Caenorhabditis elegans: one gene and its partners. The protein of the gene in region 3 purifies or fractionates together with the protein of the main gene of each other region. This does not show direct contact. Each region holds a gene or a part of one and is shown on either strand. Other genes may lie near its edges.

Region 1 (7,717 bases), about 11 Mb from region 3:
AAAATGAGGAGAGCCAGTCAACTACTGCCAAAGCAAGCATTTTTAAAGTCTAAATTAAAATTTCAACAAATCAAGTAAACAAGAAAAATTGGGTTAGGCACGCAAAATTATCCACGGGACTATCAAACACCATGCTTCACCCAAATATGTAGAAATTAGGCGTTAGGCAGGTAGGCAATGGTGTTCTTTCCTAACATGAAGTTTAATTTGACTAATTGAAGTACACATAATCAACCTTCAAAAAACTTTTCAAAAAGTTCAAAAATTTTCAAAAACAATTAAAAACCCTCCAAAACGTGATTTCAGATGAACTTCAACTTGTACTTTTTCTAAACAATTCTTCAACTTTTCCGTAACGTGCCTTTTCTTTTTTCAGCTTATTTTGCTTATTCTTTTCTTCTCTCTTTATCCAATTCAACCGAAATAAGCACAAAAAATCGAGGAAAGCAAGTCATCTCCTCTCAGGCAAAAATTGAATATCGAGTTTCATTTTCTCTCTCTCTCTCTTTCTTTTTCTTTTTTTTCTAGTCTGAAGATGTCTTCAGAAGAGGTCGACTTTTCCAATTTTGTCTATCGTTTTCTCTTTCTTTTCCTGGCATCAAGGAGCCCGCGAGCCTTTAGAGAAGAGGGCTCTTTACACACAAAATTGGATAAAATTGAAAAAGAAGAGGAAAAGTGTGAAACTGGAAATGTAACACTTCTTCCTTCCCTCCAGTTCTTTTCTCTCCTTTTCTTTCCTTCACATTTTCTTTTGTCCCACGGCTTCTTGCTTCTCGAACCGATCTCGACGTCGTCTCGCGTCGTTTACGGGTAATTTGAGCCCACACGTCGTCACCCGTTTGGAGCTCTGCGCCAAGGAAACCATCAAAATTGGAGTGGGAAAGAACCTTATGTTTTTGCAAAACGACAAAAAGTTTAAAGTTGGCTGCTGTTTCTAAAAACGTTTTTTTTTGAAACAAGTGCACTTTTGCAGTTTTTTGTGACGTGCAAGCCTTCTAGACTTCACTTTTGGCTTGAGACCACTATTCAGCTATATAGGTTATGTATTCTGAGAAAAAAACATAGTTTTTTTTGTTGTTAGGTCAGAGTTACCGTAGTTGATGTATTGCAAATGTTTGCTTAAAACAAATTATTGATTTGAAAATCTTGATTTTGAAATTGAAAATTTTCCTGTGATTTTTAAGTGAAACCGTAAGTTATATATTTTTTGGCATAGCAAACTAAAATTTCCGTTTCACAGTCATTTGAAATGATTCTACAAATTTCAACATATACTACATATGGCTCCATACTTTAAAATTCGTAATTTCTAAAAATATTTCTGAATTATCTTGAACTCGAAAACTTAGTCATCAGCCCTTTGTGTCTCCAATTTCTTTCCAGAATGTAACATTTCTGAAACCCCGGTTTTCCAATGTACCCGCATATCTCACGTCGACCGACCTACCTATGCGCCTGTATTTTTATGATATGTTATTATCCCAAAACACATACAGACTTACCCTTTTTTATTTCGATTAATTTATTTCAAACTTCAAACGAAAGCTCGATTATTTAATTTTCAAGCAACTGCTGTTGTAGACCACTTGAAATATAAGTTTTCAAAAAAATCAAACTTTCAAATTCTTCAATATATTTCCAATTCCCATAAATGATTTCTTTTCTTTTCATTAATTCGCTTCAACTTTCAAAATTATTTTCATAACTCCTGCTTTACAGCGTACCCAGCAAAATAGAAAAAATTTTCCTGAAAACGACGTCATCAGGAAAAGTGTTCAGAATCCGTCGTCGTTGTCTTCTTCAGAATGGCTTCGGTGGCGGCGTGGCTGCCGTTCGCGAGAGCCGCCGCTATCGGATGGGTTCCCATTTCGAGACAGCCCATGCCACAGGCCCCAGTTGCAATACAGGTTAGGTTTGGTGGGAATAATTTTCTAAATTTAAATATAAAGTAGTCCAAATTTGATCTGAAAAAATTGCGCCAAATATTTATTTCCCGATGTTTTTTTACACTGTGATATTTCTAAAAATTTTTGTGTGACGCCACACATCTTCATTTTTAATGAGAGACACTTAGGCAGCATTCTGTGTTTCTATTCGGTCATTTATAGACACTATAAAACAGTGGAAATTTCCACGTTCTCACAATTAGGAATTCTTGTTCGCGGAAAAGGTTCAAACATCAAAAAATACGGAATTCTTTCATAAATTCTTGTTCACACACGTGTTAGGTGGTCGATGTCTTTTGAAAATTTGGAAATTTGATACGAGTGTCATATGCAATGAGAGATTAGATCCTCTTTTTAGTTCCAGGATCCGTAGTGAGAGGGAAACTAAATATACATTTTGAACTTTGGATATGCAAAATTTTTACTGTTTCATTTATTTGGCAGATTCCTCTTTTTCATGAACTAATTTTTTGTGTTGCCTGTAGATCTCTATATGTTCACAAGCTCTCAATGTGATATTTCAGGCCAAAGACCTCGCGGTTGATCATGTCTCTGACGAAAAACTAGCAATCAACATATCAGGACGAAGGTTCGAAACGTGGAAGAACACGTTGGAAAAGTTCCCAGAGACTCTATTGGGGTCAAATGAAAAAGAGTTCTTTTATGATGAAGACACTGGGGAATACTTTTTCGATAGGGATCCGGACATATTCCGACACATTCTCACATTTTATAGAACGGGAAAATTGCATGTGAGTTGTTTGTTTTTGTTGTTTGAGCCAGTTTGAGACAAAAAATTGCAAGCATTAAAAATTAATGTTTTTTGAAACAGTTTTTTTAAAAATAAACTCTCTTCAACTTTCTAAACTTCCGCTGAAAATGTTCTTAAAATGTAGAATCATGCTTTGACATTTTTTCTATAAAAAATCAAATTTTAACCCATTCACATAGGCGCTAATGTCCCCGTCTACCAACAAAGCAGCATAGACCTGTCTCGAGCCTACAGACAAACCGCAGGCGGGCAGCAGGCAGGCGTTAAAATTAAAAATATCTGCCTACAAACTTACGCATTTGTTTTGCAATTTTTTTTTGGAAATATACAGAATTCAATTGATTGTAAAATAGATGCAATTTTTATTCAGAAAAATATTAAATCTTTTGAGCAATGCTTTTTGAGAATTTGGAGCATCGCCGGAGAATATTTTAAATTAATTATGCCTAATGGTGCTTAAATGGCCTAATAATGTAGTAAATCCTTTATAAATTCAATTTTTTTTAAAATTTTATTCAAAAGTGACGATTCCTCATTTTTTATTTATTTTAATAATGCGTTAATAAGTTTTACTCAAACACTGTATGAGTATGAACTTGTAAGACTGCTAGATATTTCTCAAAGGAAACGGAGTAATATTTTTCGAAAATAAATTTTAATTTCAAAATAAATTTTATTTTGTATTATAATTTTCAATATTATTTTTTAATAAAAAAAATCTTTGAAAAATTTAAGATTTTCGTTTGAGTATGTGGTGACTTGTTGAAATCTATTAAAATGCGCCACTTTCCATTTTTCCCAGAAATCCATATTTTCAGTATCCCCGTCATGAATGTCTTGTTGCATACGACGAAGAGCTCAGTTTCTTTGGAATAATGCCTGATTTGATATCAGATTGTTGCTATGAAGACTATAAAGATAAAAAACGAGAAAATCAAGAAAGATTACAAGAAGAACGTGTAGAAAATGCGGATATATCAACATTAAAATTGTCTCTTAAAGAGAAAATGTGGGCGGCATTCGAGAATCCGCACACAACATCAATAGCACTTGTATTTTATTATGTCATTGGATTTTTTATTGCTGTATCAGTGATGTGTAATATAGTGGAAACAATACCTTGTGGGTATGAGGATAATGTGTCTGTGACGTGTGGAGAAGCCTATGAAGAGCAATTCTTTGTTATCGATACAGCGTGTGTTATCATTTTTACGATTGAGTACTTTTTACGGTTGATTTCTGCGCCGGACCGAATCAAATTTATGAGGTACGTTTCTTTTAATATCAATATGTAAACTTCTCACACTAATAAGTTAAATATTCACTGATTTTATCAAACTCATTTGAAACAGCAATAAAATTTTGAATTTTCTAATTATCCAATTTTGACGCTTTTTGATTACCTATCGGCTTTAGAGACAATTTAATCAACCAATTATTTAATACAAAAATAAATTAGCAAAACGCAATTAGGAATAATAATCAAATAAAAACGAATTACCCAATGCTATGGGAAAGTTCGCGAAATTCAAGATTTGAGCTAAAATAATCGTAATTCTTTTCAAAATCTTGTGCCGCCAAAAAAAAATTGGAAAATTTTTTGAGAAGTCTCATTACAAAATTCAACCATTTCAGTATGACCCTCTAGCCCGTCTTTAATGCATTTTTATGATTTCAAAAGTTTTGTTCAAAATTATCAGTTCAAAAATATAGAGATGTTTCTCATAACAATCATGAAACTGTAAAATAATTAAGGACACATTTGTCAAAATTGGATAACATGTTATTTATTCGTCCTTATTTTTTTAACCATTTAAATGGTTTTCTTTTTTCAGGTCAATAATGAGTGTAATCGATGTGATTGCCATAATGCCTTACTACGTTAGTTTGGTACTAACTGACAATAAGGATGTATCCGGCTTGTTTGTCACTTTAAGAGTTTTCGTAAGTTTTTTCTTTTGTTAATCCTTAAATTGAATATCCAAATATTTTTTCGAACATTCTGATAAAAATCATTAATTCTTTGATCAAATCCTTCTAAAATTTACAGCGTGTCTTCCGAATATTCAAATTCTCACGACATTCCCAAGGTCTTCGAATTCTGGGTTACACTCTTAAATCGTGTGCAAGTGAACTTGGATTCCTTGTATTTTCACTGGCAATGGCAATTATCATATTTGCCACTATTATGTATTATGCGGAGAAAAAGGTCGACGCGACGAGATTTACCTCGATTCCGTCAGCTTTCTGGTATACAATTGTGACTGTGAGTTTTTCTTTGTAAAATTAAGAAACGGGGTTGAAATTTTGATTTTTACGTTAAATACTCTCCATAAAACCTTCAACGTTTTGCAAATACCTTATCCCAAATGCACTAGGAAAATGTAAATTTTAAAGTTAATATTTGCATTGGAAAAATTAAAAATTAAAATATTTTTTTTTTAATTATACAAATCACTGAAGACTAAAGGTGAAACCTATTCATACAACACAGTCATTGTTTTTCATAATAAAAAATTAATTTTTCTTTCAGCTAACAACTCTTGGATACGGAGACATGGTTCCATCAACAATAATGGGTAAAATAGTTGGAGGAGTATGCTCACTGTCTGGAGTGTTGGTTATTGCTCTTCCAGTTCCAGTTATTGTCAGCAATTTCTCTCGAATTTATCATCAAAATCAGAGAGCTGACAAGAGAAAAGCACAGAAGGTATGGTTTTTCGTTCAGTTGTAAAACCTTTTTAAACACTTAGTGATTTTTTTGCAAATTTGTTGGATTAAATTTAATCAATTTTCAGAAAGCCCGTCTTGCTAGAATTCGGATCGTTAAAAACGCGTCTGGACTAGCATTATTCAATAAGAAGAGAGCTCATGAAGCTCGGATGCTAGCATTTGAACAGGGTAAGTTGGTTTTTTTTTTCATTAGAACATTTCGTATTGCCGGCTTAAGTTAGTTATTATTGAGTTGTCACAAAAATATTTAACTTTGGAAATATAGAAAAGTATTCCATTTTGTTTTTCGGTCTCTTGGCATTTCTGTTGGCTCAAAAAAAGCAAATATAAAACATTAAAATTAAAAATTAATAAAAACAGTTCGTGATTCCGCTTGCTCAAGAGGGCACAAATTTTGAATCCGGTATAAAAAACAGATTCTGTGGTTTTTTTTTATTCCGTTTTTTTATATTTAATGTTTTAGGTTTTCGGTTACTTAATTTATTAGCAATGTGAAACATTAAAAAAAAATTATGTGTACAAAATTCTAGATTATAATTGAGATAACTCTAAAAAGTGCATTTTTGCAGGTCATCTCTCTTTCGATGCTCTCCGAGACGAAGATATCTTCGAAATCCAACATCATCATCTTCTTCAGTGTCTAGAAAAAGCGACGGAACGTGAATTTGTTGAATCAGAAGTGATGTTTGAAGGTGGAAGAAATACTCCTCCGCCCAGTGAAACAGCTTCATTGAAAGGAAAAACAAAGCGTAAAAGGCGATTGTGAGTTTTTGATTTTCAATCCTTTGAAGATTTATTAGTCTCTGGATTTCAGGGTAAAAAAATAAGAAAAAATTTTATACTATTCATCAATAAAATAAATTATCATCAAAAAAATTCACTGATGCTTTCTTTTCGTTAATGCATTTAAAATGGAAAATAATCATGAATGAAAATGAAAACTGTAGAAAATATTGTTGCGTTTTAAAATCCAAAATTCAAAAATATGCCTCTGCAACCCTGGCTAAGATGTCTGCTTGAATTCCCACCAAACATAGAACAAGGATATTAGGCAGCGTTGAAATACCATGTTTTCAAAAATTGTAGTTTCAATTATTTCTTGAATTTTTTTGAGTTTCTTCTTTGTCAGCAATATTTTGAGTATTTTAAATTAGAACCCCATTCGAAAAGTGAGTGTACCACGAAATGGTCTCGTTGGTGCAACTTTAGAGGGAATTCAAATAGCAAAATTGACAAAAGTGGAAAAACCTTAAATTCTTGATGTTGGATTTACTTCTTATTTTTGTCATTTTTCCTTGGTGATATTTTTGATTTTTGGATCACAATTTTGAGTTAAAACAACAAATCTCCTGAAATTTATTTTTTTTAGATGCTGTGTTTCAAAAGAAAATGAAGAAATGGAAGAGTTGGATCGAGAGACTCGTGTAACATTCAATCAGAATATGGATCAGGTATAAACTAACACCAGTTATTTGTTGAAAATTATATTATTAATTTCAGATTTGTGAATTACCAAAACCTGATGAAATGGAACTCAATCATCGAAATAATGACAAAATTTGCGTATCGCAACTGTAATCTACTTCTTTATTTTATTTTTTTAAAATGATTTCTAAAAATCATTTTCTATAGAAAATTTCTCTCATTGCTCTACCGGTTCCGTCTTTCTAGAAGCTAGTTGTTCTTTTACAAAAGTTTTCTGAAATCATCCCTCCCAACTATTCGGTTTCCCCAATCTCTCATCAACGATGCAATTTTGTTTTTTTCTGTAATTTTTACTTTTTCAAGTTAGAAACAAATATATTTCCATTGAACCCGTTTCCCGAAAAACTTCATATCGCTCTTTTTCTTTTTCAGTTCGAGGTGACTTTTCTCTAAATTTTCCCCGCTACTAGGAGCCTCTCCGATGATCTGCCCATTGGTGGCAGATGTCTTTCATTTTTTTTTTGATTTTTCAGATGGAAATATAAAATTGAAGTAAAATTAACTTTTTATGTGCAGTTTTTTTTTTTTCAATTTTCCAGGTCTGTCGATAAAGTTTTATTTATTTTCTAATTTTAGAAAACCACAAAGGGAATTACTTTTTTTTAACTTAGTGAGCTGGTTCATTTGTATCAGCTCATTGCTGAAAAAATGTAACTGTACAACATTCCGCTTCATTCCAATTGCATTTTAAACTACAAAAAACTTTATAAACAGATACATAAAATAATGCAATTATCAACAGTTTATCGTCGGGTTCCGTCCTCAAAGAAGATTCCTCCAT
Region 2 (4,557 bases), 7.9 Mb from region 3:
CTGTATTTTTACGAATTTCTTCCATAACTGTATGTGTACTAGAAATATAAACTTTTGAATAGTTTTGGATACTTTTAGTGTGGGCTGTTCCAATTGCAACACCTAAAAATATATGTATTAATTTTTTTAAAAAGTTACATGATTAGATCTCTTCTTTGACAGTTTATATTTCGGTTAATTTTAAAGATATAAAAAACATTTCAAATTATAGAAGAAAGTATTCAAAAAAAGACGGTCGAAATTTTTTCTGAGCTGCCACAAATTAGCACTCCGGCTGCAACACACATAGAGGAAATACGGTAACTAAAAATAAGAAAAACAGTCAAAAGGTAAACATATATTTGGAGCTTTTCCTCAAATTTCAATTAATCTTTGTACTTATTTTCGTCAAATGATATCACTATTTCCACATATTACATCATTATTGTACGCATATGACATTTTTGTTTTCCTTTGCTTATCTGAACCTCTCTCACGAGACAGAATTGCTAAAAGTTTCGAAACATTTTGCTTTTTAATAAATATATTTCTTTATTTTATGGTTAGTCTAAGTTCACAATTGTTATATTAAGACTACATGGGTACCGTATCATTTTGATATACATTGTAGATTTACTATGTTTTTTTTAAGTTTCAGAAAAGTATTTAATTATTTGTTGAAACATTTTTGGAGTTGCTTTTCAGAAAGAAACAGGTGACAGTTTCAAATGTATCTTCTGTGTAATAAAACACATGTGTTGGTTCAGATGTTTGTTTAATTTTGCAAACGGTCATGCGTAGCGCAACGACTTTATTTTTATTTCATTCGTTTCTTTTTCGCACAGTCAGAGTGCATTTGAGGTGCAAACACTTGCATCACAATTTCTATTGATTCGTTATTTTTTAAACAATTTAATTTGATGAGAGACGAGAAGCATCCATTTTTCGGCAACTAATGATCGCTTGGCCAACTTCCAACATCCTCATTCCACGATTTCAAAACTGTCTCTGCTTCTTCGAATTCTATTGTATTTTTGTTAGCGTGAAAGGAAACAATGCGCGATAAGCAAACTGGGAGCGGAGTGGAATACGGAGAGAGAGAGAAAACGAGGTGGTCAGCTGATTTGTTTGCTTCACTTTATTCCCACATTTTCACTTTTCAACAGTTTCTCGTGACTGACCACATAAAGTTTAAGCAATCGATGCCATTCGTTTTTAAAATTTTGGATAACACATATACTTGATAAAAGAAGTTACGAAAACCAGTAGGAAATTCGTTTAATTTCTATCAAAATTCTACAGTACCGGTACAGTTGGAAGACAAGAGAGTGCGTGCACAGAAGAGACGCAGAAATATGTCGGCAGCTAGTGTGCAATGTGTGCAAACACCACCACGTAAAAGTACACAGATTGAGTGCCAAAATTGTTTCAAGAGGCCTATTTTTGGATATTTAAAAGAGTTTTCGACGCATATTTCATTATTTATTTTTAAATTTCAAAGTTTAGTCATTTTTATATATCCCTTATTGATTTTCTCTCCTTTTAACTCGTTGGAGTTTATTTTACAAGAGGATATGTAGTGTTTTGAATGATAATATATTAATTACGAGCGTATCTCTTTAAAAAGTTATTCTTCAAAATACCACAATGTTCGTTATTCAAGCTTTCAACATTCTAAACTTTCGTGTATTTTTTGTGTATCTTTCTCCTTATAAGCTACGCCTTTCCTCGTCTCCACCACATTCTCTCGTCTCATATGATGTCGGTTGACATGTGTATTCGTCTTCTTTTGCAGCTTTCAGTCATGTGGAATATGGTACAAACCGACCATGACGATCTCGAGAAAGCCGAGGCAATGAACTCGATGGCAGGACTCAAGTACACCATTGATCATACTTGGGATGGACTTCCACTTGCACATGAGCCTATCAAAGTGAGTTTTCGAATTTTTATACATTTAGATTCGAGAAAATTACGGTTTATTGCAAACTTTTTGTAAATGCGTATATTTGAATTTTTGCAGATTGACTTGAAGTGGCACTTTGAGCGACTCGTCGGGCGCCCACATAAGCGAGTTGTCAAGATTTCATTCGACGTAATAATTTTGAATATTTATATATTTATAAAAACTTCAACAAAATTTCGTATTCAGGCACCATTCTTCGACGATCCAGAACCACTCGATCCACCAGGAATAACACCACAGGTTAGTCAGTTTTTACTGTGATAAAGTATATAATTCAATAGTTTCTCCAAATTAAATTCTTTTCAGCTTTGGGATTTCGAAGTTATTGAATTCTTCTTCGCAAATGATCGTGGACAGTATCTAGAAGTTGAGATTGGTCCACATGGACATTGGCTCTGCCTTCTTTTTGACGGAGTTCGTCATACTATCAACAACGGTGAGTATTTTAACTTTTTAAGTATTTTGAAAATATCAGTTTTTCGAAAGTTACATGTTTCCCTTCAATCTTTAATCATTTCAGGCGAAGAACTCGAACTCGAAGTACGCAACAAATGGGTTGGAAATCGTTGGGTAGGAGAAGTCGAGATTCCTCTTGCATACTTCCCATCCAGTAATTTTTAAGTTTAATTGTAAAATTATGCAAATCTTATTTCCAGAAGTTACAAAATTTAACGCTTATCACATCCATGGAATGGATTCGGAACGCGTTTACGCCGCATTGAGCCCTGTGACCGATGGAACTTATTCGGTGAGCTTTAATACAATAAATTATTGAAAAAAAATGATTTCAACCTGTTTGTAATATAAAAATTTGCAACTTTTGGCTCCCAATATAGAGCCCATCACTCATAATCTTTTCTTCTCACATTTGTCTTCACTATCGGCACTCATTTTGCTCCGCCCATCGTAAACATAAAACATAGTTGACTGCGAAACCCGTGATTCGTCCGTACACGCAACTATATACTCACCCTATTGACGAGTCTCAACTCGTTAAACCATAACTAACTCAGGGCCTTGTTAAAGACCCGAAGTACAATTTTTGAAGCCCTGTCTCTCGAGGCAGGGGAAAAATTTATGTTGATAATGTTTTTGTTTAGGTGAACTGAGATTTAAAACTAATATTTTTAAAAAGTAGATGTTGAATATTAATCCTTTCTGGGACTATTTAAACACGATTTGCATAATATTAAATTTCTTGTTCGTTTCATGTTTTCCTTCGGCATGCCTTTTTCGTTGTGTCTCCGTCTCCACAATCTGAACGGACGCCCCGCCCACCTCTCACATAGAATGGAGGGTGGCGGAACCCGGCAGATGTCGGTTCAAACGGGAGGGTACCCTCTTTACGCCACAGGGAATAGTCGATTTCTTATAATACTTCAGGGCCTTACTAAAGACCCAGTGTACAATTTTTGCAGCCCTGTCTTCTGAGGCAGGGGAAAATGATTTAATTAATTAAGAATTTGGTGAATTGGATATATTAAATATAATCTCACATCCTATTCCAAAGAGAATCACATTGATTGGGTGAATACATAATATTTAGCATTTTTTTAAACATTAAAAATAAAATTTTCAGGAACCAGACTTCCACCGCCTGGAATTCTTCCAAAAAATCAACATGCGCCGAGTGATTCCAGAAGGTTATGGAGATCGTCCTTTCGCTGATTTCAAGTACGGAGATCTTTGGGCTGGGCACTATTGACACTGGCTTTAAATTTAGAAATTTCCAATATATCAGTGAGATTTGTTTTCTTTCCGGTTTTGAGCTGTTCAACCAATTCCATTTTGGCTTTTATGTGTCAATTGTCATCCGACAACAAAAATTATAACTTTTTGAAAATTTTTATTCACCTTCTATTAGAAACCGGGTTTATTGTTCTTCTCAAAATTGCTTACAAATTTTCTTGTTTTCCTTCCTATTTCATTTGAGAATTTCGCTATGCCCCATTAGGTTGTGTTGTTCTTCCGATTGCCCATTTTCAAATTCTTTCACTCCTCATTTTTTGTGTTTTAAATGTTTAAACTATTTATTTTCAGTATTCTCTTGTTTTATATTTCTGACTCATAAACTTTTCCTTTCGAAAATAGACACAACCACATGACATGTCGCATGATCTAGAGCTCCCGTTGTCCCTGGAAACCTGTTGTTTAGCTCGGGTCTCCATGGAAATTGAGCACAAAAGGGGGCGTGGCAATGGTTAGCTAGCGAGCCTCTTACAGCATAAAAAGAGCTCATTCTCGTTTTCATAAGCAGCATCTGAAGCCAACAACTTGGACAACAATGAGTGATCAAGAAGACAAAGAAGTTCCTGATGTAGAGGTTGACTACAGCAAGTACGATGAGGATAGTGTTCCAATTCCGGAAAAGGTAATAGTTTAAATTTATCTGAAATTATAATGAAAACTACCGTCAAACTCTGTGAAATCTATATAAAATTATTTCAGGATATCGAGGAATCTCATCCAGGCCGCCCGGATTTGGACTATGATGAGACTCCAGTTGGACCAGCTCCAACTGAATGCACCGAGGAGAAAAACGACTGAATATGCCACGTGGCAAATACAAATACTCCCAATACAATGAGGATTGAGGATGGATGCGTTTCAAT
Region 3 (2,910 bases):
TTAGAGCAAAATTTGTGTCTCTAGATACTCTATAATGACCTGCTAAGCCAATCTAGAGCCGCCCGGACAGAGAGTATTCGACACTACCTCTGGCCTGCGTGAGACGGTGTACTTCTTGGCCAGATAATTTGCACTTGGTTCCAAACCAAGCCACTCTCGATGTGACGAAATCATCGAGTTTGTTGAAGTGGTTATCTGTTGATCCCTTTCGCCACGAAGAGGCTTAGTACAGAAAGAGTTTTTTTTTCTTTTTTTGTACGAGCATCTTTTCTTTTTACCGAAAAAGAAAAAAAAAACATCATGAACTTTTTGGGAGGTTTAGACTATTTTTAGAATATTCAGAAATCTCAAACATAGTGAGTCAACAAAATGTATACTCTAGATTAACGTGATTTCAGAAAAGGTTATTTACGCAAGTTTTTGGTACTTTGCTTCTACTAAAAGCTAAGCAAGCTTTTAATAAAGCAATCGCAGAATCCAAAAACTGGCTTTAAATTTCTGAAGAGACCACATTCATTAAATCTCAAACTTCGACAATCCTGCTTGTGCCTTTTTTACCGAAAAAGAAGACATTTTTCAGAGGGAACGTTGCAAAAATCCTTGAGTTTGGGGTAAGCCAGTTGCAGAATTGTACATTTAAAAAAATAATTGGAAGTTAGAAAACAAGATTTTTTTTCTTTAGAGACCACATCCATCAAACCCTAGACTTTGTCAATCTTGCTTGTGCTTTTTTAACCGAAAAAGCTCTTTTTCCTATTTTCTCATTTCCTATCAAGTACCCAGCTGAAATTAATGGAAATCTTGAAGAAAAACGTAGGACGGAATACGTTTCTCATTAAGAAAGTCATGAACTAAAATTGCGTTCTTATTTGAAAGAATTGGAGTTCTGTAAACAATAATAAAACATTGAAGACATTTTTCAGAGGGAATGTTGCAAGAATCCTTGAGTTTGAGGTAAGCCAGTTGCAGATTTGTACATTTAAAAAAAAATTGGAAGTTAGAAAACAAGATTTGCATTTTATTCATTTTACATATTTCGCTGCCAAGCAGCAACGGAACTTCATAAATTTTTGAAAAATTTTATTGAAGTATATTTTTGATAAATTTTGAAGTCAGATAAATACCTTTTTTTTTGATTTTCAAGAAATCTATTATCTGAGTTTGTTTAATCTTATAGTTAGTTACTCTTCAAAGTTATCACTTTTGACATTTGCGTACAACACATTTGTCTTCTAAACCCAAATTCCCCACTTTCTCGTAGAAATTAAAACACGTGTGCTCCGAGAAACATTTTTGTGTTAAAATGTCTATCAACGTTGAGGAAAATAATAGAGGAAGCAGGCAAGTGCCAGTTGTTTCTCTCTCTCACTCTTTTCACGTTTATCAGTGATTTCAGTTCATTTCGACTTCTCAATCGGTGTCACTGATTGGTTTTTGTGTTGTTCGAAGTTTAAACAATTTATCTTTGAATTTATATCTAAAATAGTTGATTCTGCAGTTGAAAAATAACATTATTGAAATTTTTTCATTTAATTTTTGGCGTTCAGCATTTTTAGCACGTTTTCTGAAATTGTATTTTTAACAACAAGCTTCAAACCCATTTTTACCGACTCAACCAATAATACATCTTTGTAGTTCTCTCTGCGTGGAAAACAAGTATTGAGCTTCAACTTGAAAAATGTCATTGACAAATGAGCGTAGGTCTACAGATAGTATAGCTTCCAAAAGTTTTTTTTTTAATTTTCAGAAGCTGAGTCCATTTTGGCTCCATTGATGAAAAAGTACCTCGACGCGTTGAACACTTCTAATTGGAAACAAGTCGAGAACTTTTATCATGTTAATTCGGTTATGATTGAGAAAGGAAAAAGTTGTATGTTTGGTAATCAAGGTAAAGATAATCATAGTTCAATCGATTTCCCATTAATGAAACTTGTGAATTTCAGCGATAGTGGACAGTTTCAAAGGAATGGGAGCCGATTTTGGAAAGTACGAAGTTCAGGTGATAAACATTTTAAACATTTTAAAATCTATCCTAACAATTTTCAGATCTCCAATTCTCGCTACGAAGGAGTTGGTGATTTTGTAAACATTCACACCGATTTTAGCTTTGTTACTGAAAAGGTTAAATTTAATAGATTTTCAAATTTAATGTAAAGTTTCAGCAAGGAACTCTAAGCGGAAAATTTACGCAAATCTGGAAGAAAGAAGACGGAAAGTACGCTATTCTTCACGATCAATTTGAACTCTAGATTCTGTAAATGTTCTTTTTCAACGGTTAATTATATGAATTTTTGAACTTTTTATTACAGTTTTGAAAATAAAATTATTGGTTTGAGGGGACGATCTAAAATAAATCAGTTTGAATAACAGCATCTCGAACTGTAACGAGAAGTTCTTTTCGGAGTAGCTCGTACTCTGGGAGATTTTCAATCTGTTTAGATGTGCGGGATGGAGCACCGATGAAGCAAGTGGCCAGATCGTTAGTTAGAATGGATGTCGGCGAACCTTCGGAGCTCTAAAAAGATTTCAAATTTTTTATGTAATTAGAATTGAATCAAACATGTGTTTGTTGTTACTGATATTGTTTCTAAATTAGATGTTTTCAAGTTTAAAAAAATTTCTAAAAGAAAATCAACATTTTGAAGGGCGTGTGTTTGAACTTTTTTGCCTGGGAAGAGGAAGCTTTTATATGAAACTTCATAAATTGTGGTGTGTAAGAAGTGTGTAAATTTAAAGTCAGCTTATTAAAATTTGAAAGCTTCAAATCAAATACTTAAGTAAGAATCAAGAAAAGCAAAAATGGCAAACCTAGGTAATTAGTTTGCGCGGGAATTCAAAATTGATCTAAAAAATAATTCAGCAATTTATTTTTTTGCGAAATTGAATAAAAACTATTTAAAAATTTAGAAA
Region 4 (4,000 bases), about 11 Mb from region 3:
CGACGTGTCTACTGTCGTTTATTCGATGAAAATAGGCAGGAAATCTATCAGAAAGCCGTGGCAGTTTTCCCCGAATTAACAATAAAGTGCTCGGAGAGTTCCTCAGTAAAAGCCGAGTTCGTTGCTGTAACTATAAACAAAAAGGATGTTCCAGGGAATATGAAGCAGATTTACAAAGAAAAAGAAACAAAGAACAAATCAGAGTTTACTGTATGTCTTGCTCCACTTTATGGAGAATCTCCGAAAGTGTTGATGTTGATGGAATTTATTGAATATTATAAGTTGCAGGTTAGTGTCTTGGGGTTACGGTAGAGTAGTTATTTTTAGAAATAAAGTGCATTTCAGGGCGCTGACCATTTTCTAATTTACTCATTCAACATCTCAAAGGAAACTGAAAATGTTTTGGATTTCTATAGAAATTCCTCAAACCTTGAAGTAATACAAATGGGAAATGAAACTAAATGTCTAAATCGTCATAGATGCAGACATGAGATGCAGTTACAGGTTTGTTTCAATTATTTTAATTTAAAAATAAAATTAATTCAGGACTGTGTATTCCGAACTCAAAAGTACTCAAGCTGGGTGGCAACGGTTGATTTGGACGAAAGGATCATGATGATTGATGAGAAATCTACTCTTTTAGATTATATCAGGTTTTCATTTTGCTTACTTTTTTATCCAACTCTCTATATTGACAGAAATTGCAATGATCATAAAATCTCTGAACTACGTTTTCGTTGTCAATGGACTCTTCGATATTCTGAAATTTCTTCTGGTGCTCCTCAAATTGAGAATCTTCCAATGATTACTTGGCATAACACCAGCCACGTGGCACCGCAGAATCATACTACAAAATCGATTATTCGGTCCCGAAATGTTGACTCGATGGGTGTGCACGGAGTTCAAAAGTTCCGAAATCCGATCTATGGAGTCCGACTTGTGGAGCCAGAAATTGCAGTTGTCCGACACTATCGATTGATTAAAGGATGGAGTTTCTTTTTAAGAGAAGCCGAATCTTTTGGCAACTTTTTCCATTTTCAACTATCTCCTGGTTTATCTAGTCGTATTATTGAAAGGGTTGCAAAAATTATTGCGAAATTTTAGAACATTACGGGTTAATAAATGTTTTTGATTTGTTTTGTTTTCTGTATTTTGATGTATTTTTGAGAGAATAAAAATATTATACCAAACATTTTGCGTCGGAATACTGTAGCTTCTCGGAAAAATATTTTTGAAGCAAAAACATGTTAAGTTTTTTTTTCAAAATCGTGAATTTTTAACGACAGCAATAATAATTTATTTCGTAAAACACATATTTCCTCATTTACTGGCAGTTTCCAGCAAAAATTACAGTCATTTCACAATTTTAATTCAAAAATTCTCAGCGGGGCGCACTTTCATATCTGTTCCTTGTCATCGTTTTGCACCGTTTTCGTCCTTCATCACGAGAATTTCTCGAGTTTTAGACAAGTTTTTACACTTTTTTGAACAGCTGTTGTCGAGAAAGCTTATAAAGTTAAAGTTAAAATGTTCTACTTCACAAATTCTCAGGTTCCATTCTTTTAACTTTCGAATCTTTATTTGAAAGGACAAAAAGTTTCCCGAGAGAACGGTTTTGTGTAATTAATTTTTTCATCGATTAGATGCGTTTATGCTCTAGAGATGCAGCGTTTTCATTTACAAATACGCAAATGTTCTTCGATTTTTTCTCATTCTTCCTTTTTCAATCTCATTTCTCATTTATTCTTCTAATTTTCAGATGTCTTTCCAAGTGAGCGTAGCCGTTAACGATGGACCATTCCAAAAGAAAAGTGTTACACCAAACACAACTGTTAGTTTTAATACTTAAATGTAATCTTTTATTCAATTTTTTTGCAGATTGGTGATCTGAATAACGACGCAATACTGATTTGGAAAGATACTGCAATTGTCTACGATATTTCGGATGAATCGAAGAATTTTGGTCCAACAGTGACATTAGAGGTAAATCGAATTGTTAAAGAAAATCTTAATCATACTATAAGTTCAGCAACTTGGCGTCACTCAAATTTCAATGGTTTACATATATACCACTGCGTTCCCATGTCCGTCTGGAGATCTCCGATCGATCGTTCCAGCACAAGTCCGGCTCATCTCGCAATTCGCTTCAGCTGCGTCGAGTATTTTTAATGGACAATCGTCTTCCTCAGCACAGTCTGCTCAGAGAACACGGAGAGTTGAACAAGATGATGAAGGTGAAAAATCGATGTTCTCTCGGAAACTTTTGGATTCTCCTGCGACGTTCAAAGCGCTCTCAGAAAATATGTTCTTCCGTTTGAAAAACGAGCCACACAAATTGGGCTACGGTTTGCCGGAACTTGTTGAACGCTTTTTGGCGAAAAAAGATATGACTTACAGTGAGTAGCGCATTTTTTAAATCTTTATCTGACGCCTATCTAATTTTCAGAGGAATTCGAGCAAATGTTCCGTTCCTACGTCGAAGAAGAAGTTCACAAGGAAGAAATTATCAAAAACAATCCAAATTCAGCAGAAGCAAAAATGTTTTTGGAAGCGAAAAGAAATAAAGAACTGATTGATGAACAATATTTACACGTAAGTTTACAATAGAAGCCTGTAAATATATACAAATTGTTATAATTTCAGTCAATGACCCACCACCCAGAAGATATGATTGCCGTCACAATGCTCTACATCAATTTGACTATAAATGGTGTTCCAGTCAAAGCTTTCATTGATTCTGGAGCTCAAAAATCGATCATGTCAATGGCATGTGCTGAACGTTGTGGTCTTAATGGATTAATCGATAGACGGTTCCAGTCAATGGCCCGAGGAGTTGGTGGAACAGAGAAAATCGAGGGAAAGATTCATTTATGTGAGTCAAAAGTTTCCAACATTGATTCACATTCATTTTAATAAATGTTTTCAGGCGATGTGAAAGTTGAAGATGCTCACTTTTCATGCCCATTCGAGGTAATGGCTCGTCGTGAGATGGATCTTCTCATCGGGCTTAATGTGCTCCGTAAGCATGGGTGTTGTATTAATCTGAAAACTTCACGGTATGTTTCCCTCACGAAAATCTCGCGAAATCTAAATTTTTTTTTCTTTTTGAGATTGGAGTTTGGCAACGGAACAACAACTCCATTCCTTCAATCCAATGAAATTGATTCTCATCTGAAAGAGATTATGGCACTTCCTGAAGAAGAAATGCAATTCGAAGATGGATCCACATAGTTCCGCCCCTACAATTTATCCTTCAAATCTCCTTGTCTTTTCATCAAAAACATTTCAATGCCACTTTACTTGTATTTTCTTCACTGCAAATATTATACGGAATTCTTTTTTTTCTGCAAATACACTCTTTCTGTGCGTATCACTTCTTTTTTCTCCATGGAAACTACCACGAGTTGTTCCCATGGGAAATTCCCAGTAAATATCTCAAATATATATTTTTTTTTCATTTTCGCTGTCCATTTTGTTGCCACAGGCGTTTTTCAGGTTGTATAATAGATTTTGTAAATAGCAGCAATGTTCAAGCTGAAGAACGGACAAGAAATTCCGAAATTGGCTCTCGGGACATACGAAGCCAAAGGTGATCAGGTTTGGAATATTTTTTATTTTTGAACTTCGTTATTTTATTTTACCTTTTTTAGCTTTTCGCAGCTGTCGACGAAGCACTCAAAGTTGGATACCGTAGTTTCGACACAGCGAAGTACTATGAAAATGAAAAGGATTTGGGTTTAGCTCTTAAAGTATGAATTAACGAAATAAAACGCAAACATGCTTTTTTAGGAAAAAAAGAATCTGATAGAAAATATATCATTACCCAGACTCGCGTTTTGTGCCAAACATACGTTACGCGGTCTCGGCGCGGCAAATGTTTGCTAATTGCGAAAAGGTGTGCGCCTTTAGAGAGTACTGTAATTCCATTCTCTTCACGTTGCACCATGAATTATAATTGATTTTCGTAGTTTTTCTTAATTAAAGACACAACCATTTTTAT

The links.
Region 1: the proteins of T02D1.8 (region 3) and shl-1 fractionate together in Caenorhabditis elegans (co-fractionation; one large-scale study listed by BioGRID). This does not show direct contact.
Region 2: the proteins of T02D1.8 (region 3) and C33A12.3 fractionate together in Caenorhabditis elegans (co-fractionation; one large-scale study listed by BioGRID). This does not show direct contact.
Region 4: the proteins of T02D1.8 (region 3) and ddi-1 fractionate together in Caenorhabditis elegans (co-fractionation; one large-scale study listed by BioGRID). This does not show direct contact.

Annotation. Positions count from the first base shown.
Region 1 is NC_003282.8:6,378,071-6,385,787, reverse strand, and holds shl-1 (BTB domain-containing protein), read left to right. Parts: upstream 1-1,717; 5' UTR 1,718-1,805; coding exon 1,806-1,907; intron 1,908-2,470; coding exon 2,471-2,698; intron 2,699-3,536; coding exon 3,537-3,985; intron 3,986-4,002; exon of another isoform or gene 4,003-4,023; intron 4,024-4,393; exon of another isoform or gene 4,394-4,414; intron 4,415-4,553; coding exon 4,554-4,662; intron 4,663-4,768; coding exon 4,769-4,984; intron 4,985-5,251; coding exon 5,252-5,428; intron 5,429-5,516; coding exon 5,517-5,619; intron 5,620-5,884; exon of another isoform or gene 5,885-5,905; intron 5,906-6,020; coding exon 6,021-6,213; intron 6,214-6,820; coding exon 6,821-6,902; intron 6,903-6,951; coding exon 6,952-7,029; 3' UTR 7,030-7,503; downstream 7,504-7,717. Other genes in the region: bli-6 (Nematode cuticle collagen N-terminal domain-containing protein), read right to left, coding at 7,680-7,717.
Region 2 is NC_003282.8:9,510,220-9,514,776, reverse strand, and holds C33A12.3 (UPF0462 protein C4orf33 homolog), read left to right. Parts: upstream 1-1,774; 5' UTR 1,775-1,783; coding exon 1,784-1,912; intron 1,913-2,002; coding exon 2,003-2,074; intron 2,075-2,131; coding exon 2,132-2,185; intron 2,186-2,251; coding exon 2,252-2,381; intron 2,382-2,465; coding exon 2,466-2,555; intron 2,556-2,601; coding exon 2,602-2,693; intron 2,694-2,937; exon of another isoform or gene 2,938-3,014; intron 3,015-3,310; exon of another isoform or gene 3,311-3,382; intron 3,383-3,524; coding exon 3,525-3,650; 3' UTR 3,651-4,029; downstream 4,030-4,557. Other genes in the region: C33A12.4 (TFIP11), read left to right, coding at 4,230-4,316, 4,394-4,492.
Region 3 is NC_003282.8:17,386,218-17,389,127, reverse strand, and holds T02D1.8 (DUF4440 domain-containing protein), read left to right. Parts: upstream 1-1,635; 5' UTR 1,636-1,678; coding exon 1,679-1,697; intron 1,698-1,747; coding exon 1,748-1,888; intron 1,889-1,943; coding exon 1,944-1,999; intron 2,000-2,046; coding exon 2,047-2,121; intron 2,122-2,162; coding exon 2,163-2,249; 3' UTR 2,250-2,344; downstream 2,345-2,910. Other genes in the region: C30H6.12 (BESS domain-containing protein), read right to left, coding at 2,345-2,515.
Region 4 is NC_003282.8:6,521,115-6,525,114, forward strand, and holds ddi-1 (Protein DDI1 homolog 1), read left to right. Parts: upstream 1-1,752; 5' UTR 1,753-1,759; coding exon 1,760-1,831; intron 1,832-1,878; coding exon 1,879-1,983; intron 1,984-2,029; coding exon 2,030-2,396; intron 2,397-2,446; coding exon 2,447-2,592; intron 2,593-2,643; coding exon 2,644-2,872; intron 2,873-2,926; coding exon 2,927-3,056; intron 3,057-3,110; coding exon 3,111-3,231; 3' UTR 3,232-3,457; downstream 3,458-4,000. Other genes in the region: gtnt-2 (Glycosyltransferase family 92 protein), read left to right, coding at 1-288, 346-504, 547-653, 699-1,104; C01G5.5 (NADP-dependent oxidoreductase domain-containing protein), read left to right, coding at 3,526-3,597, 3,651-3,749. UniProt on the Caenorhabditis elegans protein: Aspartic protease. Required for the cleavage and activation of transcription factors such as isoform a of the transcription factor skn-1, which in turn regulates the expression of proteasomal subunits such as rpt-3.